3 linked regions of the Diceros bicornis minor genome follow. The protein of the gene in region 3 binds, or shares a complex with, the protein of the main gene of each other region. Links are inferred from orthologs where the notes say so. Each region holds a gene or a part of one and is shown on either strand. Other genes may lie near its edges.

Evidence for each region. The genes of interacting proteins can lie anywhere in the genome.
Region 1: the proteins of AURKA (region 3) and TACC3 are in contact, whole or in part, in a crystal structure (PDB 5ODT), measured with the Homo sapiens proteins. The link is inferred for Diceros bicornis minor from reciprocal best matches to the Homo sapiens genes AURKA and TACC3. Residues at the interface, in NP_001310232.1 of Homo sapiens: Leu130, Phe133, Glu134, Ile135, Gly136, Arg137, Tyr148, Leu149, Ala150, Arg151, Ile158, Val163, Arg205, Tyr207; in NP_001428248.1 of Homo sapiens: Glu523, Ser524, Phe525, Arg526, Pro528, Val531, Leu532, Gly533.
Region 2: the proteins of AURKA (region 3) and TPX2 are in contact, whole or in part, in a crystal structure (PDB 3HA6), measured with the Homo sapiens proteins. The link is inferred for Diceros bicornis minor from reciprocal best matches to the Homo sapiens genes AURKA and TPX2. Residues at the interface, in NP_001310232.1 of Homo sapiens: Lys125, Arg126, Gln127, Trp128, Asp132, Glu152, Gln154, Ser155, Phe157, Leu159, Lys166, Glu170, Gly173, Glu175, Leu178, Arg179, Val182, Glu183, Ile184, Ser186, His187, Leu188, Arg189, Tyr197, Gly198, Tyr199, His201, Val206, Tyr246, Ser249; in NP_036244.2 of Homo sapiens: Gln3, Lys5, Ser6, Ser7, Tyr8, Ser9, Tyr10, Asp11, Ala12, Pro13, Ser14, Asp15, Phe16, Ile17, Phe19, Ser20, Ile31, Asp32, Trp34, Phe35, Glu36, Lys38, Ala39.

The regions. Positions count from the first base shown.
Region 1 is NC_080747.1:1,102,157-1,109,771, reverse strand, and holds the start of TACC3 (transforming acidic coiled-coil-containing protein 3), read right to left. Parts: upstream 3,007-7,615; 5' UTR 2,905-3,006; intron 2,070-2,904; 5' UTR 2,069-2,069; coding exon 1,907-2,068; intron 1,750-1,906; coding exon 1,607-1,749; intron 142-1,606; coding exon 1-141. Other genes in the region: TMEM129 (E3 ubiquitin-protein ligase TM129), read left to right, coding at 4,319-5,033, 6,819-7,293. UniProt on the Homo sapiens protein: Plays a role in the microtubule-dependent coupling of the nucleus and the centrosome. Involved in the processes that regulate centrosome-mediated interkinetic nuclear migration (INM) of neural progenitors.
Region 2 is NC_080758.1:27,754,858-27,762,503, forward strand, and holds the start of TPX2 (targeting protein for Xklp2), read right to left. Parts: upstream 3,007-7,646; 5' UTR 2,928-3,006; intron 2,560-2,927; exon of another isoform or gene 2,357-2,559; intron 492-2,356; 5' UTR 375-491; intron 1-374. UniProt on the Homo sapiens protein: Spindle assembly factor required for normal assembly of mitotic spindles. Required for normal assembly of microtubules during apoptosis. Required for chromatin and/or kinetochore dependent microtubule nucleation.
Region 3 is NC_080758.1:6,939,439-6,947,426, reverse strand, and holds the start of AURKA (aurora kinase A), read right to left. Parts: upstream 3,014-7,988; 5' UTR 2,931-3,013; intron 1-2,930. Other genes in the region: CSTF1 (cleavage stimulation factor subunit 1), read left to right, coding at 5,837-6,005, 7,422-7,699, 7,865-7,988. UniProt on the Homo sapiens protein: Mitotic serine/threonine kinase that contributes to the regulation of cell cycle progression.

The sequences.
Region 1 (7,615 bases), on a different chromosome or scaffold from region 3:
GGAGCTGAGGTGGGCCCGCTGGAACTCCTGTCTTCAGAGGCTGGTCTCACGTCCCCTGGAGGGGGGTTGGCATCCAGCACTGCTGGTTTCTGGAGAATTCCATCGGTCGTTTTGGTGTCCACTTCCTTGGTGAACTGTTGGCTTTTTAGAAACAGACTTAGTTAATACTAAGCAACCCATTTTGTTTTTTACATTTTAGCCCACATGAAAACATTAGCTAAAAACAGAAAAAAAGAATGTTTAGTCAACCATCTCCTCAGGATTAACTGTCACAAGTATAGTCCCATAAATCAATGCTGGTGAGCAACCTAGGGACACACGGGTTTCTGAGAGTGAGCAGAAACCTGACAGATACATGACCAAAGTTAAGGTTTTCTGTGCTACCCTACTTTCCCCTTTTGGTTGGGGACCACCAGCTACATAGTCAGGGACAGTCAGGCACACGAGGGTCAAGCCCTTCACTGAAGAGAGAAAGGCAGGTCGAGAACACTGCCTTCAGAAAGCAGGGTCCCAGCTCCTAGGGCCACCCTCCCTGGGTCCTCCTGGCCTGCTCCCTGACTTCTGCTCTGTGGCTCTGCAGAAACAGGGCAGAGGCAGGAACCACCCTGGCCCTCGAAGCAGGTCAGATCCTGCGGCCAAGAGGCCGGGTTTCCCTCCCTTCCTGAGGCTGTTATAAAGGAACAGTATTTAAGTCCCTCTAATCTCACTCAGCTGAATTTCAAAAAGTATAAAACTGAAGCTGACAAGTAGCAAGGACACCTGGGGAGGGGAACAGATTCAGGCTCGAGGAGCTTCCACGAGGAAACAGAACCGTGGCCCCAAGAACATTTTACTTAAGTTAGGTGAAGGATATGTTAGCGATACTTTGCTTTTATACCTTGCTCTGTACATCTGAAACCTGTTTAGAAGAAAATGCAAGTTTTAAACAGCTTAAGTCAGCAAAAGTCAAAATGAAAATGTGCCAGTGAGGACCCTTCCCACTCTGGATGCAGAGGGTCCCTGGGGGCCTCAGTTGGGTTAGTTCAGCCTAATCTGGGGGTGAAGAGCTGCCACTAGGGTTCTCCTTTCCAGACAGAGGCAGGAAAGGCCGTGGCACTCACTTAGTAGACCAAGCCAAACACCTAACTCCAGGTGAGGCTGCAAAGAAGCTTCTCCCAGTTAAAGCCAGGTGTTTAAAACCTGGTCCCTGAGGCCACTCGCACTCTGACCAGATTACACAACAGACATCTCCTCTGCCTTTAAAAGAACACAGCTCAACTTGCAAGCAGAAGAGAGACCCCAGTGGAACACAAAAAGAGACATAAAACCACAAAGTGCCCTTCCTTAGAGATGTGAGCAGGACATTTCGTGAAGCTAGAGAAACAAAAAATGAGGCCAACTTGTTGGCAAGGGTACAACGAAGGAATGGAATATGAAATTTAAACTTATTATAAGTGTTCCATTATCCACTTTTCCAGTAACGACTTCCGATGCCAAATACTCTGGACCATGCACCACACAAGCTCAGAGCGAGACCAAGAGAAACTCAACCAGATGAGCAGAATTTTCCTGCCGAGTCTACGAGAGATGCTACAAACTGCAGTACACAAGCAGCACCCACACTTACTTCTCTTTCTGCGTCCAGACTTGAGGAAGGTTTCTTAACCCTCCGGCGTCACCCAGAGCAAAGCAAGCCTCCGGTTTGCTGCTCACAACAGGACTTAGAACTCTGTGCGTCTGTGGATCCCGCAGAGGTGTCTGAAAAGTCACCTGTTGGGAGGGAGACAGCACCTGTTCACCAAGTTCGTCTTCAACCACTATGCGAGGAGCACCCTGCCCTGGCAGCTCATTTAAGTCACCAGGAAAGCAGGTTCCAAGGTGACCTAACATGACACACGGTGATCTCACATAGGCACAACGCGCTCACCTTCACGGCTTTGGCTATGCTTTTGGGTGGCACATTTTCCTTCTGTGACAGACGAAGAACAGATGATCTTCCGGTAAGTTCTGGTGGTGAAAACAGGAAGTTGCAGTTCTCTGTACTTTTGTCACCAGTGACATTTTCGTCATTGAAGATCTGCAGACTCATTCTGAAAAAGCAAACAGCGTGTGTCAGCATGAAGGCAGCGACACTGCGGCGCCTGGATGCACCAACGTGAAAAAGATGGAGCTGACTCTGCAGCTCGGCCGGGAGGATGGCCCCTTCCTGCGCAGCTGGTCACACCTCAGGCAGTGTGTCCTCTGCCAGGTGCTCCCTGTCCTGCTGCAGGGGAGCCACCACCTCCCAGGCCTAAGGGCTAGAAGGGCCTTCAGCCTTTGGGGCAAAGAGGAAAACCCAGGTGCTCCCAACAACTCGAACTTCATGGGTAAAAGTCAAGAGACAAGTAAAAGGTGGCCTTGGAGAACACCAGAAGAGGCAGAGGAAGCCTAGGTCTCCCACAGGCCTCCACTCGAGGCGCCAAGGCTGTGTCAGAGCTGGAGCAGGTGGCCACGCTGGCAAAGAAAAGAAAAGCGGAAAGGTGCGGTGGCTCACTCTTCCCCACGTGGCTGGGAAATAGAGACAAGGTGAGGGCAGCAGGACCGCCAAGGCCCAGAGGAGGAGCTGGCAAAGGAAATACGCAGTGAGGTGCAGAACTAAGTGGGGAGCTTCTACATCGGGGCCTGGAGTCTGGAAATACACCAGGAGCCTCCAGTCAGGCCCAGAAGGTTCTGGAACAGCCCCATTCCTTCCTACAGTTCTCATCATGGTCGCCAACATGACATTCCCAATCTAAGAGTCATCAGAGAACTGGGTATGGACCTGCGCAAGGCCGCACCATGGGTACCTGCTGGTGGTGGGGGCCCTGGGGGCTGCAGCTCGAACAAGGCTGAGGTGTCTGAGGCAGAAAGGTGCAAAGGGGGCCTGGAGGGGTGTGAGGTCGGCACCTTGGAGGGTGTGAGAGGAGGCCGGGAAGTGGCGTCAGAGGCTCCTGCAGCAGGCCTGGGCTGGGTCAGCCCTGGCTTGGCCAGCGGGCCCCCCTTCGGTGTGTGGAAGCGGGAAAGACTCAGGAGTCCAAGGTGACAGCTAGGTCTTCCGCCTGAACAACTGGGTGAAACACGGAAGGGGGCCTCGAGGACAGCTTTCTGGCCGTCCCTGGCCTGGGGAAGGTGGGAAAACAGTGATGGCGGTCTCAGTCGGTTTGGCTTCTACTGACCACGGGACCACGGGCGGGGGCTCCGGAGCAGAGGCCGCCCTGCGTGCGCGGACTGCGGTAGGGCAGCAGCGGGCGGGGAGGGCTCGCGCCCAGGTCTGCGGCGCAGGGGCGCGGCAGTGGGTGACGGCTCACAGCTGGGGCTGGAGGAAGCAGCAGAAGCTGCCCCGTTGGAGGGGGGCGTGGCCGCGCAGAGCCGGAAGGGCTAGGGGTCCGGAGTCCCGTCTCCGACACCCGGGCAGGGGGGCGGGCAGCGAGCCGGGCGCGCGTTCGGTGCTGGAGACGTGCATTTGCAAACCACAGCTACGGGTGGTATGTGAGGCTGGACAGGGTCACCGAGGTGAGGGGTGGCCGCGGGCCAGGCCCTGAGGGACCCCGACACACGGACCTCCTGGAGGATGACCCTCGCGGAGGGCGACAGAGGGGAGGCGGAAGAGCCAAGAAGGCAGGAGCCCGCCGGGCGTCTCGGACGGCGGGGCAGAGGTCACCCGGCTCCGCTCCGGGCTACGGCGGGCCGGCGGGATGGGCCCGCTGAGAGGGACCGGCGAGAAAGCGTCCTTGAAGAGGCGGCGGGAGGGCAGGGGCGCCGCGGGGACACGCCGAGGGTGGACCCGCCGCCGGGAGGGCGGGTGTCGGCAGCTCCGCGGCGGACAGAGGCCGGGGCCGGGCCGGAGGGTGCGGAGGAGGCTGGGATGGAGCCCCGGGCCGGGACCCGCCCGCCGCCGCCGCCGCCGCCGCCGCCGCCGCCTTACCTGCCGGCCGCGGTGCGGAGCCGAGAGAGCGAGAGGCGCCGAGTCCAGGAGCCCGCCCGCCCGCCGCCGATTCAAATCCCGACGGTTGGCGCGCGCGGCCAATCAACGCGCGGCTGGGGCGCGACGCACGGGACGCCGCCGGCCAATGGGAGGCCGCGCCTAAGGCCACGCCCCCGCGCGCCGGCGGTACCGCTTCCGGGGCGGGGAGCACGCTGGGCGCAGTGCGCGCCGGAAGTCCTCGGGAGCCGCGCGTTGCCGACGAGTGGAGGGTCAGGGGTGCTCGCAGGCAGACGATGACTGCGGGGCCTGCTGTCGCTTGGGGATCTCGTGCTCTGCTACGGACGGTAGACTGGGCGGAAAGGCCGGAGCCTGAGAGCCGCTCGCCCGGGCTTCAGTATGCCCAGCTGTAAAATAGGACCAGGTGTAGCGCCGCCCCCAGGCCGGGTCGTGAGGAGGAGCCGAACCTTCGCGAGGATTGTCGCGGCAGCTCACGACTTCGGGTCATGTGCGGGAAGCGGGAACTCCATGTTCCGTAGTGCCCCACGGGGCTCGATCTCTCACAGCGTACTGCGCCGGCTTGACGGTGGGACTCCATCTCCCAGAGTGCTCCGCGGGCGGGGGAACTCCCATTCCCAGAGTGCCCCGCGGGCGAAGACCTCGTCTCCCAGCGTGCTCCACGGGAAATCCCATTTCCCAGAGTGCCCCGCGGGCGAAGACGTCGTTTCCCAGAGTGCTCCACGGGAACTCCGATTTTCCAGAGTGCCCCGCAGGCGAGGACTCTATCTACCAAACGGCTCCGTGGGCCCCCTCTCCCAGGGTGCCCCGCGCCCACCGGACCGGGAAGCTCGGGCCTGTTCCCCGCGCCGGGGGCGGCGGGTCTCGCCGACGGTTCCCGGCGGCGGCGCGATGGACAGCCCGGAGGTCACGTTCACGCTGGCCTACCTGGTCTTCGCCGTGTGCTTCGTGTTCACGCCCACCGAGTTCCACTCGGCCGGGCTCACGGTGCAGAACCTGCTGTCGGGCTGGCTGGGCAGCGAGGACGCCGCCTTCGTGCCCTACCACCTGCGCCGCACGGCTGCCACGCTGCTGTGCCACTCGCTGCTGCCGCTCGGTGCGCCGGCGGGGCCCGCTCGGGGGGCGGAGGCGGCCGCGCTGCGGGCTCCAGAGGCTGCCGGGCCGCAGGGTCACCTGTCTCGGAGAGTCGGGGAGGGCGCTCGGGGAGAAGCGGCCAGCCCCGAGAGCGAGGCTGCGTCCGCCCGCCCGGCCGCTCGCAGGGAGCAGAAGAGCAGGCTCGGACCCCGGGGGGATGCTCGCCCGCTGGGGCAGGCGCGAGCGGTCACATGGGGTGGGGGGCAGTGCCCCGGAGAAGGGTCTGAGGGCGGGGGTCTGGGGGACAAGGTGGCCCTGCCCCAGGCCTTGGACGGTGGGCGTGGGAAGGGCAGGCAGAGGTAGCGACGCCAGGCGGGGTTGTTACAGGTGCGGAGGCCGGGGAAGGCATGTGTGTGGCCGGCCCGCTCCGAAGTTGCCCAGGGGTCGTGCTGGGCAGTGACTTGGGGCCTAGCTGGGCTCTGGGGGTCGGAGTGTCAGCTGGGTGGACGGGGGACTGGCTGGAGAGTGGGGGAGCAGGCGGGGGTCCGGAGAACACGCAGGCGGAAGCAGGTCTGGGAGGGCAGGGGCGGTGGCCCTGCCTGCAGCTCTGTGGACACGGAGGAGTGTCCACCTGGCAGGCGCGCAGCAGCCTGGCCAGTATGGGGAGCGGCAGGAGGGGCCTGGGCTGAGGCCGGCCGGTGCATGGGGGCTGCCTGCCTGCGTGGACGGCGCGCCGAGTGGAGCCCACGCCGGGATGGGGAGGGAGCTGGCGTGGTGAGCTGGTGGCCCATGTCTTATGGGCCGGGTGGTTGCTCTGCGTGGTGTTGCGGTAACTGCCTGGCCGCCTCCACAGAGCACCCAGCTCCCTGTGAGCAGGGCAGCCCATTAGCCCCGTGCCCAGGTGAGGAGCATGCGGCCTGGGGCCTGGGCTCCCCTGAGGGTGGCGGGTTGGCTTCTGCCCTGGAAGCTCAGGAGCCCTCCAGCTTCCTGGAGCCCGTGGGGGGCTGGGCCACCATCCGAGGACGGGCAGGGACATCAGGACTTAGGGAGCAGAGTGACTCCAGGAGGCCACACCCAGAGGAGGAGGTGGAGCCTGGCCTTGTGGCTGGACACAGGGTCTTGTTTTGTTTTCCAACTTCTTTTGAAATGCCTTTTTTGGGAAACTTTGAATCATATTTGTCGCTACATGATAAATTATCTTAAAATGTAGTGATTTCGGCAATAGCAAACTTATGTCATTATTTTTGTGATTTCATAGCTGCCACTGCACCCCATCACTATCTGCGTTATTCATTTTGAGTGCAAAGTGGCCTCAATCTGGCCAGCAGGGGCCCGGAGCTGGCTCCTGTGTTCTTGCTGACAGCCCCCATCGTTTGGCACACGATGTCCCAGCCCTGGGATGGGTCACACTCAGAGGGGTGGGGTCAAGAGGCCAAGATCCCACTCTGTGGAGGGCAGCTGTGCATCTGGTGACACCAGATCATTGCATTTGTTGTTTTTCTAGTTTTTTTCAGTATTCTTATGTTGTGTAAAATTAAAGTAGCAAATTAAAAACGTTTTTCCCTTTTTTATGGGGTCACTGTCCGGGTCAAGGCTGATTTGGGCCAGTGTGGAGGCAGGTGAGGTCCACCTGCTCTGGGTACCCTGGTCTCGCCCTGGGAGCTGACCAGGGCAGAGGGCCAGGCCCAGGGTTGGGGACGAGAGGAACTTCCCTAGGAGGTACAGGGACAGCACTGTGGCCCTCACTGGGGGAGGACAGTGGCCTGGCAGTCCCGACCTTTGCTGAGACTCACTCTGTTGCTTGCAGGCTACTACGTAGGCATGTGCTTCGCAGCCTCAGAAAAGCAGCTCTACTCCCCGAGCCGGGCCCCAGAGGCCTGGCAGCTCTTCCTCCTGCTGGTGGTCACCCTGCTGACTGTCACCTGCTCCCTGATCTATTACTGGTCCCGGGACCGGTGGGCCCGCCACCCACTGGCCCGTACCCTGGCCCTCTACGCCCTTCCGCAGTCGGACTGGCGGGCCGTTGCTTCCTCTGTCAACACCGAGTTCCGGCGGATCGACAAGTTTGCCACGGGGGCACCGGGAGCCCGTGTGATCGTGACGGACACGTGGGTGATGAAGGTGACCACGTACTGCGTGTATGTGGCCCAGCAGCAGGACGTGCATCTGACAGTGACGCAGTCGCAGCAGCACGAGCTCTCGCCGGACTCCAACTTGCCGGTGCAGCTCCTCACCATCCACGTGGCCAGCGCCAGCCCTGCCGTGCGGGCCTTCGACATCCGGTAGGCATGCCCGAGGTCAGGTGGGGGTGAGCCAGCCAGTGCCCAGGTTCCAGTCTTTGTGCCCCCCGGGAGGCGATGATGTGTGGAGCAGCCCCTGCAGCCATCCCTCCAGTGCCTCCCCCTCAGAGCCCCCACTGCACCCCCCAGGCCCCTCCCTGGCCCCCTCATCCCTTGCCCCCCTTGCGCCCCACAAGTACCCTTTCCTCTCTCTTTCTCCAAGCTCTTCTCTGAATCTGCCTTTTCAGCTTCTTTGGGGAGCATGTTGGGGACACTTGGTGGCTGTACAGGATAGACGCTTGGTGGCTGCCTCAGCTCTGAGGTC
Region 2 (7,646 bases), about 21 Mb from region 3:
TACTATGGTAGAACCATATAATAGAATACCTTAAGACCATAAAATTATGTTGTAGAAAATTTTAATGACATGAAAAAAATGTTCATAATCTATTAAATGAAAAAAAAGGTTTTTAGTGTATGATTTTTAAAATAAATACAGGCACAGAAAAAAATTGGAAAGAAATCTATCAGAATATTACCCATAGTTTGTCTGAGAGGTGGGATAGTGGGTAATACTATTTTTTTGCTTTTCCATATTAAATAAATTTCTTCCAAAAATATGTGTTACTTTATAAAGATGTTAAAGTTATTTAAACACTTTTGAAGCTGATAGATTAATATTAATGTTTCCTTATTCCTTTTTAATGTAATTTACTGTGGACACAGCCTTACCTCTAGTTTAATCGGTCTGCCAGTCCACCTCACTACAGGCTTGACTCAAAGTTACAATATACTCTGTCACCGCTCTTCTGAAATCTTGAAGTCTAGTGAGTGCTTCTTATCAAGAAACTGGAAGAAGCAGAAAGGTGATGAAACAGGTTCAAGTTCTCTGTAATTAAAAAGGTTAACAGAGAACAGGAAGGGGCTAGAGAAGACCAAGGATACCCACCCTCAAAACCAAAGAATGCTTCTGAGAGCTAAGGTCTAAATAGTGTGGCTCCCCCTAAATGCCAAACTTCTTAACAGATTGTTGTTTCATCAGTGTAAAAATGTTCTTAGTGTACATTTGCTGTCTCCTGGTGTCTTTGATATTACATAATTCCACTTTAAAGTAACCTTTTCAAAACCTGCAAATTTAGAAAGACTGACACCAACGGTGGTAGTGTGCACTTCTATCCTATTCAAACATCAGGACAAATAGTAGGCACACTTAAAATATGAAAAAAACTTTTACTATCTTTTTTTAATTTAAAAAAGTAGAAATTGCATTAAAAAAAAATTTCTGAAGTAAGCTCCCACATACAATTTTATAGCTTCCTCACTAATCTTAATCCCCTTAATCAAGTTTCTCTATGCAAACAAACAAAAACAGAACCCCTTCCAGTTATCTATACTTTTTTCACAAAGTGAAAAAAAGAGACCCAGGAAATGCTGAAGAAAAAAATATATAGGGGATATAGAAGAACTCTGAACCTCTCCTGGTACCCAAACAAGAAATGAAGGACCTTCCCACATAATCCTGTCTCCTGGAGAAGCTTAATTGCAACTGTAGGGTAAATAAACTTTATTAAAGTTGGAATACACAGACTTAAGTATAAGCCTGGCCAAAACAACCCTATTTTATTTAAATAATTTTAAAGTTTAAACAAATTTACCAATCTAGTTGAAGAAATCGTTTTCCATACCTGCAATTTCATAGTCAATTTAGATAATGCCTCCCGCCTATCCAATTCAACAGATATTTAGTGGGTGATTTCTGTGCACCAGGACTGTTCTAGTCCCTTTCTCACCAAACTCTGCTTATCAAGAGCCAATATGTGTCCCACCTGCTTCACAAAGCCACCCTTGCCCATTTTAAGCCTCATTGATCTCCCTCACCTCTGAACTGCCAGGGCACTTACAAAACAGTAGAGCACTCAGATGCTGTCATGTCTTGTTCTGATTGTCACTTGTCGATTTCAATCAGTCTTTTGTCCTCAAGCATACCAGAAAACCCTTGAGTACATCATACACCTGTATACCCACAGTATCTAACACCAATCTCAGCTCACACTACACCCTCAAAGGTCAATTAATTAGCAAAGTAAGCCGGGGGCCACGATAATTTTGATCCCAAGAGTGACCATACTGAACTGACACACCCAACAGTACTCCTCCAAAGCAACCAAGGGCACTCAAGTTCGATTTAGGGGTGGCTTAACAAGGGGTGTGATCCACTGAGGCTACAACACAAGAATATCTTTATTATAGCAGCAAACAGTTCGATTTTTGACATCAGATGAGACAAATTCGAAGAAAAACCAAGATGTCAAGACAAGGCTGAACCTGGAAGTACACCAAGCGATGATCTTAAAGAAAATCAGTAGAACACTCAGATGCTGTCTTGTCCTGAGCAGGACTAATCTGGGGGAAGTCCTTGGTACTTAACTTACTGTACTAGAAAACTGCACGGAAGGAAAAAAAAACGTATATCAGGAAAATAGGGGGAGTAAAACAATCCTACAATATTATAACCTGATTTACACTTTTCCTTCCCCTCCAATCTATAAATGTTCTAGGATAGGAAATTAGGCAATAATACCTAGTGATTCCATACAAAAGGGAACGGCTGAGTAGACACGGATAAAACAGAATGAATTTAAAACCCCAAATAGAAAGACAACTCCAAGCGGAACTACTCTCCCTCAATTACGTTCTCACTCCACCTCATTTACCTCTCTTACACAGTAGTTCTAAAATGTAGTTGTTTGTGACTGCATCTGTTTTCCCCCCACAAACGCCGCACTTCTTGAGGGCGGGGCTACCGTTTCACCCATTTCTCGCAATGTATCCGGACTGCGGGCTTCGGTTTCCTCTTCCATAAAGAGGCCTAGGAATAGCACCTCCTTCATTGGCTTGGTGCGAAAATTAAATGAGAAAACGCACGCAGAGTGCTCAGTTCACGCGTGCGTGGTAATAACTGTCGTCACGGTTGTTATCAGCCTACAGCCTCCCGCAACTCCTTCTTCCCCCTATTTCCCACGGCCGGCCTCTGCCTCTACCTCCAGACGCAGCCCGCTAGACCCGTTCCCGAAAGAATTCAGGGGAAAATCCTGTCACGGAGAGAACAGTGGCCCAAAGCCCGGCTCCCCCTCCGCCCCGCCAGGACGGCGTCCCAACCTCCAGAGAAGCCCAGGCCTAGAGGCGCGAACCGCGCTAGGGGCTTGGAGGCGACCTCTAGCCGTTCAAAAATTAGAGACAGACAGCCCGCGCCCCAGCTGCTCCCAGTTTCTCCCCACGGCTCACCTCACCTCAGCTCTGACAACTGAACGCCCGCAAGACCCGCCGCGGGATTCATTCAGTACCGTTGAAAATTTGAAACCAGGCGCTCTAGTCGAATGCACCAATCAGGGTGCCGGAAATGGGCAATCCCAGCCTCCCGATTGGCCCTAGAGAGCGCACCGACGCCGGAAGTCAGTGTGAGGTACAAGCAAACAACCGGCCAGGGAGGCTCCTGGGAAATGTAGTCTCATGCATTGCGTGAGCCCATTGGAACAATTCTAGTAAAGAAATTACTACAAAGCCCAGAATGCTCGGCTCCACACTAATTGGGAAAGATGGTACTAACTGAAGAGATGGGGAATCGCTTTAGATAACAGAACGGCGTGCATCCTGGGCCTCCCTAAGACTTTCCTGGAAGAAAATCATTTATTTTGTTTTTTATTATTCTCTATGTAGTTGTGCATCGTGCCTTAAATGTGCATAGGAACTCACTTCGCTTTAACATGGAGTCCCCTGTGTGCAACATAGATTCGCCCCCAGCTTCTCTACCAAACGTGAAGGAGTCTGTCAAACCTTTATCCCGTCCACGCCCTGATGTTACTGGCTTAAAAACGCGGTTTGCTGGGTACTTCCTCCCTGGGTTTACCATCCTCATAAGAGAAGACAAAGCCTCGGAGAAGTTGAGTAAGCTTGTCTAAAATCACGTAGTAAGTAGAGGAGATGTGGTTTGAATTAAGAATGTCTGGTCCTATACATGATCATAATCAATTACAAAATAACAGCGGCAATGAGAACAAAAAGATTGTGGTTCATAGTAACAACAAAAACTACAAAGTTAAAAAACAAAATAAGCCTAAGACCTTTATGGGAAAATTAAAAACTGTAAAACTTCATTGAATAACTATAAAAATAATTGAATGAGGTTATAAACCTCATTAATGAATTGTTGTTAGCGCCGTTGAGTCCCCTCCGACTCCCTAATGACCTTGTATACAGCAGAGTGGGACCCTGCCCGTCTTTTTGCGCCATCCTCTCACCTTCTGGTGCTGTATCAGACAATGCTCTGCTGCTATTCATGGGGTTTTCCTGGCCAATTTATAAGTGGGTGGCCAGGTCCTTCTTCATAGTCTGGAAGCTCTGCTGAAACCGGTCCACCTATGGGTGACCCTGCTGGCGTTTGAAATACCAGTGTCATAGCTTTCAGCATCACAGCAACACGTAACCAACACAGTATGACAACTGACAGATGGGCATGTGGTTTCCTGACAGGGAAACAAACCCTAGCTGCTGTGGTGAGAGCACTGAATCTTAACCACTAGACCACCAGGGCTGGCTGTTAATGGATGGGGACAACCAATGTTGTAAAGATGTTAATTCTCTATATTAAAAGTTCAAGGCAATTCCAATGAAAACCTCAATAGGTTTTGTCATGGAACTTACCAAGTTGATTATAAAATTCATTTGGAAGAGGAAAAACACAAGAAGTGGCGTCTGAATTTTGAAAAATAATAGGGGGTAATTTCCATACCAGATCTCATAAACATTAACATTATGAAATTATAGTAATTTTTAAAGTATGGTTAATTGACTCCATGGGGATACAATCAGCAAAATCCAGACAGGAAGACTCTACAGGACAAAAGATCTAGTTTCTTCAAAATATAAACTGCAAGGGTTTTTTTGTTTGTTTAAAACTATTTATGTTTTAGAGATACATATAGAAATGGTAGGGATGAAATGACTCTAGAATTTGCTTCAAAATAATCAGGAGTATGCAGGGGAGGGAAGTAGGTGGGAATATAGATGAAACAAGAGTAGCCACAAATTGATAATTGTTGAAGCTGAGTGACAGAGTCATGATACATATACACATACATATATGCACTTCTTACATGCACTTGAAATTTTCCACAAAGTTTTTTTTCTTAAGTAGGGTATTGCCATAGAAATTTTTTTAAAACAACAAGAAAATCAGTAGAAGAGTTTAAGAGTGCAGAAACCGACCCATGTATATCAGAGTTTAGTAAATGCTGAGTAGAATTTCAAATCAGATGGAGACAAACAGATAATGGAGTTGGGACATTTGCTTTTCATTTGGGGAAAATATTATGTTAGATTTTTATCCCACACCATTTACAAAAACAAATTTTGGATAAAAACCATAAAGATATTTTTTAAAATTAAAAATTTTTTAATTTTAAAAGAGTATGTATATGATGCTGGGGTAGGAAATTTTTAAGTAAGACATAAGGAGAAGGCTAAGACATAAAGGAAAAGACTGATCAAGCCAAAATTTTAATATTCTGTTTGACAAAAGAAAAACAAGCCTGAGGGCCGAACTATTTCTAACACATATAACAAAGGATTAGAACCCAGAATTTTAACAAACAAAAATCTCCTATGAATCAGGGAGAAAAGGATAAAAATTCAATAGAAAAAAATGGGAAAAATAAGCAATTCTTAGAAAGAAAACTGGCCGTCAAACACATGAAAAAATGTTTGGTCTCACTACTAATAAGGGAAATTTAAACAAGGAGGTACCATTTTTCACCCATCAGATTGACCAAAATTAAAAGTTTGACGGAGGGCCGGCCCCATGGCTTAGCGGTTAAGTGTGCGCGCTCCGCTGCTGGCGGCCTGGGTTTGGATCCCAGGTGCGCACCGACGCACCGCTTCTCTGGCCATGCTGAGGCCGCGTCCCACATACAGCAACTAGAAGGATGTGCAGCTATGACATACAACTAGCTACTGGGGCTTTGGGGGAATAATAAATAAATAAAATTATAAAAAAAAAAAAGTTTGATGGTATCAAGGATTCACAAGGTAACTCAACAGGTAGGAGGATGGATGAATTTGACCACTTTAGAGGGCAAGTTGGCAACATGTATTAAAATGTCAAACATGTGTGCCCTGCGACCTAGGACTTCTGTTTCTAGGTTTAGCTCCAAGAGACATAGTCATCCATTTTCATGCAGAGGCACTGAGTCACAGTCACTGCAGCGCTTACTGACCGCCTATTGTGTGTTAGTCACTGTGCTAAGTGTGGAGATACAGCAGTGGTAAGACATACAAAATCTCGGTTCTCAGGGAGCTGACATTCTAGTGGAGAAGACAGACACTAAACAAGGTAAATAAATAAATGATGTAGTGTATTAGGAGGTGATAAATGCAAAGCCATTTGCTCTCCAGCCCCTGAAGTGTGGATGGAAATAAGAGGAGGAAGGCTGGAGCTGGACAGAGACAAAGGGAGGGCCCACTTTCAGCAGAGACATGACTGGAGACCACCAGGCACGTGCAGGGCCGTGGAGTAGCTAGGCCCGGGTGGGGTGGGGGTAGCTCCATTTATATTAGGAGGGAAGGGGCATCGGAGCCAGGCTGTGTCCGGGACCTACTAGGCAGAAGGTGCTCAGTGAGTGAGTGAGGCAGTGCCAGGAGGCCAGGACTGTGCGCAAGGACTTCTCAAGTCCTTCCAAACTAACAAGAGGTAAGCCTGGTCCAAGGGATTCCTCTCATGTCATTCCTTCTGGCTCTATTACATTCTAGGCAGAGTCTCAAGTTCCCATTCTTCATGAATGGGAGACGTGAGGTCTGAAATCACTAAAGCGGAATTTCAGAGCTGGAAGGAAGCACAGCCACACCCGGTCCACTCTTCCCACAATTGCAGCTATCACCGTTCGGGCCTTAACTATGTGAAAGGAATTCGAAATTTTCATTACGGTAGTTCAGGGACATTTGGGCAAAGACCTGAAGAAGGTGAAGGAGTGAGCCATGCAGATATCTGAAGGAAGAGTGTCGCAGGCAGAGGGAACAGCAAGTGCAAAGGTAGGAGCATAGCAGACATGTTTTAGAAATAGCTAGGAAGTCAGGGTGGCTGGATCAAATGGACAAGGAAGAGAGTTATCAGGAGATGAGCCCAGAGATATTCTGGGGCAGGAGGCAGACCAACTGGGCCATTGTAAAGACTTCGACCTTGACTCTGAATTAAGTGGGAGTCCTGGGAGGGTTTTGAGCATTGATTTACTCTCTGATTTTAATGGGATAATTTTGGCTGCTGTGCTGAAAACAGAAGGAAGGGAACGAGAGTGGAAATAGGGAAATCAATTAGTAGCCTGTCCCATTGTGGTTGTGAGAAATTGGAAACCACCTAAATGTCCATAAGTAGGGGACTATTTCAATAAACTGCCTTAGAATGGAATACTAAGCATCAGTTCAAAAAGAGTTCGATAGATCTGGACTGACAGCGGGGTGTCTTTGAGACACATTTTTGAGTTAAAAAACAAATTACTAATTGATATAAATTCACTATGAGACCATTGTTTTTTAAAAATATGCGAAACGATGCTCCATTTGAGCCATGGGTGTGTACAAGTAATAACAGCTAGCACTTCTCTGACACTTAGCATATGCCAGGCACTGTTTGAAGTACTTTACATGTATTAACTCATTTCTTCCTAATAATTACCCTATGAGGTAGGAAATGTTATCATTTCCATTTTATAGATTGAGGAACTTGAGGCTCAAAGAGGTTAGACAACTTTTCCACTTTCACAGTTTGTATGTGACAGAGGCAAGATGTGAACTCAGGAATGTCAGCTCCAGATTCCAGACCCTTAACCATTGCCCTATGCTGCCTGACCTAGACATGGATGTATATATAGAGAGAAAGGTATAGGAGAATTCACAACCAACTGACAAGTGTGGGAGCTTCAGAGGGGAGGAGCTACACTGGACTTGTGGACAGAC
Region 3 (7,988 bases):
CTGCCCTAACCTCTCCTCTGACTGCTAGACTCCGTTATCTAATTACCTGCTCAGGGTCCCCCGGAAAGGTCCACCAGACATCTCAATCCTAACACATTGAAAGGGAACCTCTTCTCTCCACACTTCATTTCCCCTCTGCTCACAGGAGCACCCTGAGCTCAGGGCCAAAGCACTCTTCTTTTCCAGCTACACTCACTCCCTAGGTGAGCTCATCCAGTCTCCTGGTTTTCAATACCATCCACAGGCTGAGGACCTCCAAATTTCCATCTCCAGCTCACACCTCACCCTTAACTCCTACCACCTACACAACATCTCCACCTGGTACTCTGAGAGGCGTCTCAACTTTAACCTGTCCCAACCTGAAGTCCTGCTCCCTCCCACCCACCTCCCCAAACCTGTTCTCACAGAAGTCCCCACCTCAGCTGATGGCAAATCCGTCTTGCCAGCTGCTCAGGTCAAGTCTTGATATAATGTTTTACACGGTTCCCCCTCAAACCCCATATGTAATCTATCAGCATATCTTGTATGCTCTACCTTCAAAAATCACTACTCATGACCTTTACTGCTACCACCTGCTCACACCACAATTCTCTCCCCTCAATTATTTGCAACAGGCTCCCAATGGTCACTCTGCTTCCACTGTTGCCCCATTATGGACCATTCGCAACAGTGTGCCCAGTGATCCCATTAACAGGTCAGATATGTTGGTCCTCATAGTTCCCCAATCCAAATTCAAAATCCTACTTGCACAGACAGGCCTACAAAGTCTCAAAGAATGTGGAACGTGACCACCTTTCTGACCTCATCTCCTCTTATCTGTTGCATACCAGCCATACAGGGCTCCTTTCTTTCCTCAAAGAAGTCCCTGCCACAGGGCCTTTGCACTTCCTGTTCCCGCTATTAGGCTCTTCCCCTAATAGAAGTGTGGCTTACTCCTTCATTTCATTCATGTCTCTGCTCAGACATCCCCTTTCAGACCATCTCTCCTTTATTTTTCATCATACTCCTTAATATCTTACATAACATCACTTGCACTTGTTTACTGTCTCTCTCCCCAGACTCAGACATCCAGCTACCTGCTCAGTATCTCCAAAGCAAGCAAGCTCCACGAGCACAAGGGCTTAGTCCCATTTTGTTCACTGCTGCCTCCCCAGAACATGCCTGGCACGTAGTATGTACACCAATGTTCTGAGAATGAATTAATCCATTAACAAAGCAAATCAATAATAAAAATAGTTTATAACACTTAGTAAGCCCATACGGTGATTCAGGTACAACCACCTATCAAGTAAGTAGAACATAAACTCCAAGAAAGCAGAAACTTCTGTATTTTTCTTACCCAAGTGCTCTCCGAATTCTAGAATCCAATCAGAAAGTGCTCCCCACCCCTACACTTTCACATTCATTTTATAAATAAGCAAATAACTCCACCTTGAAGATGGGACCACAGCTAAAGAGCTGGGAGTCCTTACTTTAAGCAGTGGGTTAGTAGAAATAGACAAAAAGGAAAAAAGGAAACATATGCTTGTGTTATGAAAATGTTCATTTCACATACACTCTAATGCTTTCTTCACTTTCCCTAACAATTACAAGCAGCTCTACTGAAGTCACATAGCCCTAAGGACATTTATTCAACAGTCTTTGACAGAAGCTACAGATAATTTGCTCCAATTTAATATGTTTCCTTCTCAGGGAGATGAATGATGATAAGCAGAAGGGAATAAGATTCTGACCCAGAAATTCTGGCGAGAGCCCCAGGGAGACTGCTTCTCAGATGATTCTGGCCTACAGCCAGGTTCAGGAGCCACATGGCCAGACGACCTTCACAAGATCCCTACCGCTCAAGCCAGAGATCCTACTATTCTAAACAGGAAAATTGTTAGATTTAATAGCACCGTGGGGTTAGACTTTTCCTTCCTTGTCAAACCTACTAATGTCTGCGTATATGAAGGACAGTGGACAGGAAATAAGTATGTTGCTGAAAAGTGTTTAATTCAAAGAACAAGGAAGGTTGAGGAGGGGACATTAAAAGTCAAGGGCAGTAGCTACACCTACAACAGGGGGGCGTTTGTTAGAAATGGAGACTCTCAGGCCCACCCCCAGACCTAACAACTCAGACCCTGCATTCTAACATCCAGTTGACTAGTATGTGCTGGTCTGGGTCTCTAGTTCTCAATGACACATCAGAACCACCTGAGAGCTTGATAAAAAGACAGACACCTGAGTCCTATGCCCGAGCGCTTCCGATTCATTAGGTGGGTCTATATTTTTGACAAGGACTCCCAGGCCATGCCGACGTATAGGTGGTCCAAGGTCTACGGTTTGAGAAGCGCTGGCCCAGGAGGCCTCTTCCAGGTTATTCATTCACCCACTCATCCAGCCAGCCAGGAAAAGGGGACCTTCCTAGCTGTTCTGTCCCAAGTAGCCCCCGGTAAACCACACGACTGTTTTCTTTCGTAAGGCTCACCACTCTCGGATGTTATCTTGCTAGTTCGCAGTCTGTCTCCCCACCCCCACTCAACTGCAAGACAGCAAAAACCTGTGTTTCTTCTTACCCGATGCTCACTGAATACAAGAACCCCATCTGAAAGCACACCCTCCCCCCACCCCCCAACCACCCCAACCACTCCAGAACACATCAAGCAGCATCTTCAGGGCGCCTCAGTACCCAGAAGCAGATGCGAGGGCGCTGGGAAAGCACAGGTAGGGGACGGGGAGGATGAGGGGGATGGGGGAGGATGAGGGGGATGGGGGAGGATGGGGGCACAGGGACCCTGGGGACGGAGGGCGACGGGGGGGGGGCGCTTCTCGCCCCGACCATTCCCTCGCGGACCCCGCGGACCCACTGGCTGCATCCCTCCCACCCAGGCCGGCCACCCGGACCCTCCCGGGCCCGCCCGCCTTGCAGAGCTGCCCCAGGGTCTACCCACCCGTCAGCTCCTGCCTCCGACCTAAGGCCGCCGAGTCCTCCCGAGAACTCAGCCGTTAGAATTCAAAGTCTTCATTTTAAACAGGAGTTAAACCCTCTAATCCGAAAGCTGATTGGCCTGGGCTAGAGAGGCGCTGCCTTTTGATTGGTTCAGAGCCAACTCGACGCTTGAGTCACGTCCAGGGCAGAGACGGCGCGCAGGCGCACTTGCCCCGTAAGGCCCCGGAAGTGGTGGAGCCAACGGCCCGCCAGACCCCTGGCCGTGCTACCGCCCTTGGTGCTCTCCGGAATCCGACATTTGTCTGTGCGACAGCAGCCCCTTGGCGTCAAGGTTGTCGCGTAGAAGATAAATTCAGAGGAGGTGAACAAACCTCTCGAACGCGCTAGTAGGTAAGATGGCGAGAAGAGCAGGGGAGAGTGGTGCCGATCGATAGCGCAGCGTTCGGCGCGTCTTCCTGCGCGCGTGCGCAGTGAACGTGCGCTCGGAGTGATCGATCGGGCAGGAGTCGCGCATCCATTTTTCTGGAGAGAGCGAGAGACCAGGAGAGCTGGATTAGCGGGTACAGGGGGCCCGGGATACGTGGCGGGGGTGGCTGGTGCGGCTGGTGCGGTGGGCTGGGCTTTCAGGAAGGCTAGGGGCGAGGCGGGAAAGGTCGATAGCGAGCGGGGCGGCGTGTGCCGAGTCGCCGGGCTGGGCTTGCACCCGCCTCGTTTTCCTCAAAGGCCTGGTCCCTTCCCTCCCTCCCTCCTTAGTTCGCCCCTGCGCCGGGATGGTAGCGGAGCGGGCGGTGAGGGGGCGCCTGCGCTCTCGCCCTGGTCCCCCTTCCAACTCCTCTAACAGTCCTGGGTCGGGCTCTTCCTGTCCCCGGGCCTCAGAGGTCTCACCTGCAAGTTGGCGCTGGTAACTAGGCTCTAACCAGCCCAGCGAGCGAACGTTCTAGGGGAGTTGAGAAGCGGGGCGTGTCCTCTCTTTTCTTCATCTCTTTGTATACCCCCGTGATGCTCCTGGCGTGAATGAAGAGACAGGCTGGAATAGTGGTTAAGCTCTGGGCTCTGGTGTGGGCAGTCCTGGCGGCCACTTGAACCTTTGGCGACTTAGCCACATTTTACTTTTCACTGGGATTCCTAACCCCTTTGAGCCGGTTTCATAATCTCCATTGTGTCCTCGTATTGTCTACGCAAGCATAGATTTATATACGTTTGCTTTTACATGTACTTAAATACATTTAATGATTTCATTCGGTGAGCTAATGCTTATAAAGTGCTTTGCACGGTGTCTGGCAACTGCTTAATAAATGTTAGCTATTATTAACACCCACCAGTACAGCCCGGTAAGAAGGGCGGCTCTGGGGTCAAGTAGCCTGGATTAGGATTCAGGCTCTGCCGTTTATAAGCTGTTTCATCCTGAGTTGAGTTAACCTCTCTGGACCTCAGGTTGTCTGTCTCTAAAATAGGATTAGATGAGGATTGAATGAGGTAATGCATATTAGCTGCTTACACGGTATATGTTATATACTGTACGGAATGTCTAATAAATTTTAGCTAGTTTTAAGTTTTTGAGGAGCACTGCAGGTAGTGGTTAGGAACGAGACAGTCTTTAGAGTCAAACCTCCTGTGTTCTAGTCCTGGTTCCTCCAGGCGCTAGTTGTGAGACCATGGGCAAGTTATTTCCCCTCCTCATCTGTTAACAAGATTACAGGACCTCCTTTATAAGATGGTGTTGCCGGTTAGGTGAGATAAAACATGATAAACGCTCAGTGAATGTTAGCTGTTCTTAGGATCAGCAGCCTCAGTAATTCTCCAGAGGGAGTTGTGTACTTAGAAAACGTGGTTCCCCACCCCTTTCCTCTAACACCCTCACCTCCCCCGCTTTCAGAATCGCCCCTGTAAAGTACAGCAGTACCAGGAGGTACTGATGTTGGTGTTCACTCCCTCCTCTTCTTTCTCATATTCATCTCTCTCCTGTACTCTGCCTTTCAGTTTTCTTCTCTGCCACAACTTTTATTCTTTATTGCTGTCCCTAGGCTCCTGCAGTCTTCTGATCTGTCCGTATGTACACATACATAAAGACATTAATTTTTGATAATCAGATTTTCTATCCATGTCCACCAATTGCAGTTTTGTTTTGTTTTTTTTTGGCATAAACCAGAAACCATCATCTACAGTTTTCTGTTTCACTTTCTAAGACTGAGGGAGAACTTAGACACTTGTAAATCGATCTAAGAGCACAATCCTTCAGATTTTTGCATTTTTTTCCATTTTTTAAAGCTATCTTGGCCATATCCTACTTGCCAGTATTTTATTAAACAGTTCACTTTTGAATCTTTGAAAGCATTCAGCTTCATTGTTTTCATAGCATAATAGCTGTTTTGTGCTCATGTGAAGCTCGGTTACTTTAAAACATGTTTTAAGAATGAACATAACTGGTATTAGTAAACATAGAGCTCAGCTGGTGTAAACAATACTGTCCAGACATCGACAATAGCAGCTGTCTTACCTATTGCAAACACCAGTCACTGTTTTATTAACAGAAGAAATGGAAGATTCTCGGATAGCAATAAAGAATAAAAATTGCAAGTGAGTAGTTCGGCATAGAAGAAAAGTTGATGAAGAGACATTCTGCTGTAAATATCAGCAAACATGATTTGAATAATTTCTTTCTGCCACTATGCTCAATGCAGCGTCTTGTTTAACCTTCACTAACTTATTTAACAGATGAGGAACTTGATCTTAGAGAAACGAAGTCACTGACCAAAGATGTTGCAGCTGGTAGAGCTGGGATTTAAGCCTACAAGTGGGACCAGATTCCTGTGTTGCTTCTGTGGTTTGCTAGTGCCTCTGCCCTTCACCGGCCACCTGTTTTCTCTTCTTGCAGCTGGCAGGCAAATTGTCTTCCTGTTCCTCAAGATGTACAGAACCAAAGTGGGCTTGAAGGACCGCCAGCAGCTCTACAAGCTGATCATTAGCCAGCTGCTCTATGACGGCTACATCAGCATTGCCAATGGCCTCATCAATGAAATCAAGCCTCAGTCTGTCTGTGCGCCCTCAGAGCAGCTCCTGCATCTCATCAAACTAGGTAGCTTGTGAATGCAAATTCCTTGACCCCATGACAAGGTTTCAGATGTTTTCACACGTCAGAATTTTTCGAAATTATTTCTTTAGTTTTAGCCTTTAGTATGTATCAAGTACAGTGCTAGATATTGAAGGAGTAAGCAAAGTACAGATTATAAAGATTTCGAGCTGGTTCTAGCCTCAGGATCTTTATACGAATTATCTGAAGCATTCTGTCATTGTATTGACTTTCTTCAAGTTTCAGCTCAAATGTCATCTCAGAGTCCTCTTCACTTCTAAAATAACCCGACTATCTTCCACATAACTCTCCAGTTACTCTAAGACAATAATCCCATTTTCTTCATAACAGAATCAGTGTCTGAAATTTTCTTTATTGTTTTGGGTTGTTTTCCACACAGTCCACACCTCCCCAAAAAAAGACTGCAGGCTCAATAAAGATCAGGACCTTGTCTTGTTCAGAAGTATATCCTGGTGCTTACCTGGGTCACAGAAAGCACTCAGTAAAGTATAAAAGTACCGAAGATGTTTATACCCTTTGACTTGGCAATGCTAGTTGTGAGAATTTGTCCTGAGGATATAAAATGAATATAACTGAAATGCCTAACAATGGGGAATTAGTTATGAATGTTCTTATATCCATAAAATTAGATCCAACAACATGATGTAGATGAACATTTATTATGCTGGCCAGATGTTTATTGTGTATGATTAAGTGAAAAAGTAAGTCACAACATGTTATGTAGTGTAATTCTATTTTTCTATTTCTGTTAAGTGAAACAACTGTATGCATGGAGAAAAGTCTAGAAGAATTCATACCGCCATGTTAACAGTAATAATCTCTGGGTGATATAGAATGAGGACATTTTAATTTTTTCTTCTCTATTTTTAATTTTTGTTATACTAATAAACATTGTTTATATATGAAGTTATTTTTAAATTTAAAGTGCATATTCTTGGTAAACTTGAGTTTATTTAGATAACATTCTTTCAAATACATTTCACTGGTGTTAATGCTGACACTATATCTGACTTAATGAGCTTCAGAGCTGCTACTCACAGGTCTCAGCAGTAAAAATATTAAAATCCAGAATGGGAAAAAATGGACAATTTAACTACAGAACTGCTTTTTTTTTTGAGTTTCTGTAGTTGTGGTTAAAGTAGAAAGTTTTGGAGGCAAAAATCAGGGGAGATGACTTGACCTATTGGAGCCTAACCTTCCACAACCCATATTGCCTTACAGTGTGTGTCACTGTGCATGCGCCCAGGTCGTTACACATAATTGTTTACAATATTAAGTGTCCTGCAGCTCCAAGAAATAGTAAGTTCACATTGGCAAACATCTTGCCCAGTGTGGATCCAGAACTTTGTCTTGGCCTTTTAAAATAGCGTTTTTTATGCCCTTCATTTTTCTTCCTTTCAGGAATGGAAAATGATGATACTGCAGTTCAGTATGCAATTGGTCGTTCAGATACAGTTGCCCCTGGCACAGGAATTGACCTGGAATTTGATGCAGATGTCCAGACTATGTCCCCAGAGGCTTCAGAGTACGAGACATGTTATGTCACATCCCATAAAGGACCATGCCGGGTGGCTACCTATAGCAGAGATGGACAGTTAATAGCTACTGGATCTGCTGATGCTTCCATAAAGATACTTGACACAGAAAGAATGTTGGCCAAAAGTGCCATGCCAATAGAGGTAAAAAATCCCAGTTACATACTTCCTGTTTGCCTTTGGTTGTTCATTCTTAGAAGAATGAGAGAATAGTTGAAACCGGCTTTAACTTAGCATGGTTGTAGGTTGTGTGCTTTGAGTCAAACAGATTTTGCACTTTGAGCATCTCTTCTTTTCTTGTTGGCCTAGGTCATGATGAATGAGACTGCACAACAGAATATGGAAAACCACCCAGTGATTCGAACTCTTTATGACCATGTGGATGAAGTCACGTGTCTCGCTTTCCACCCAACAGAACAGATCCTTGCCTCTG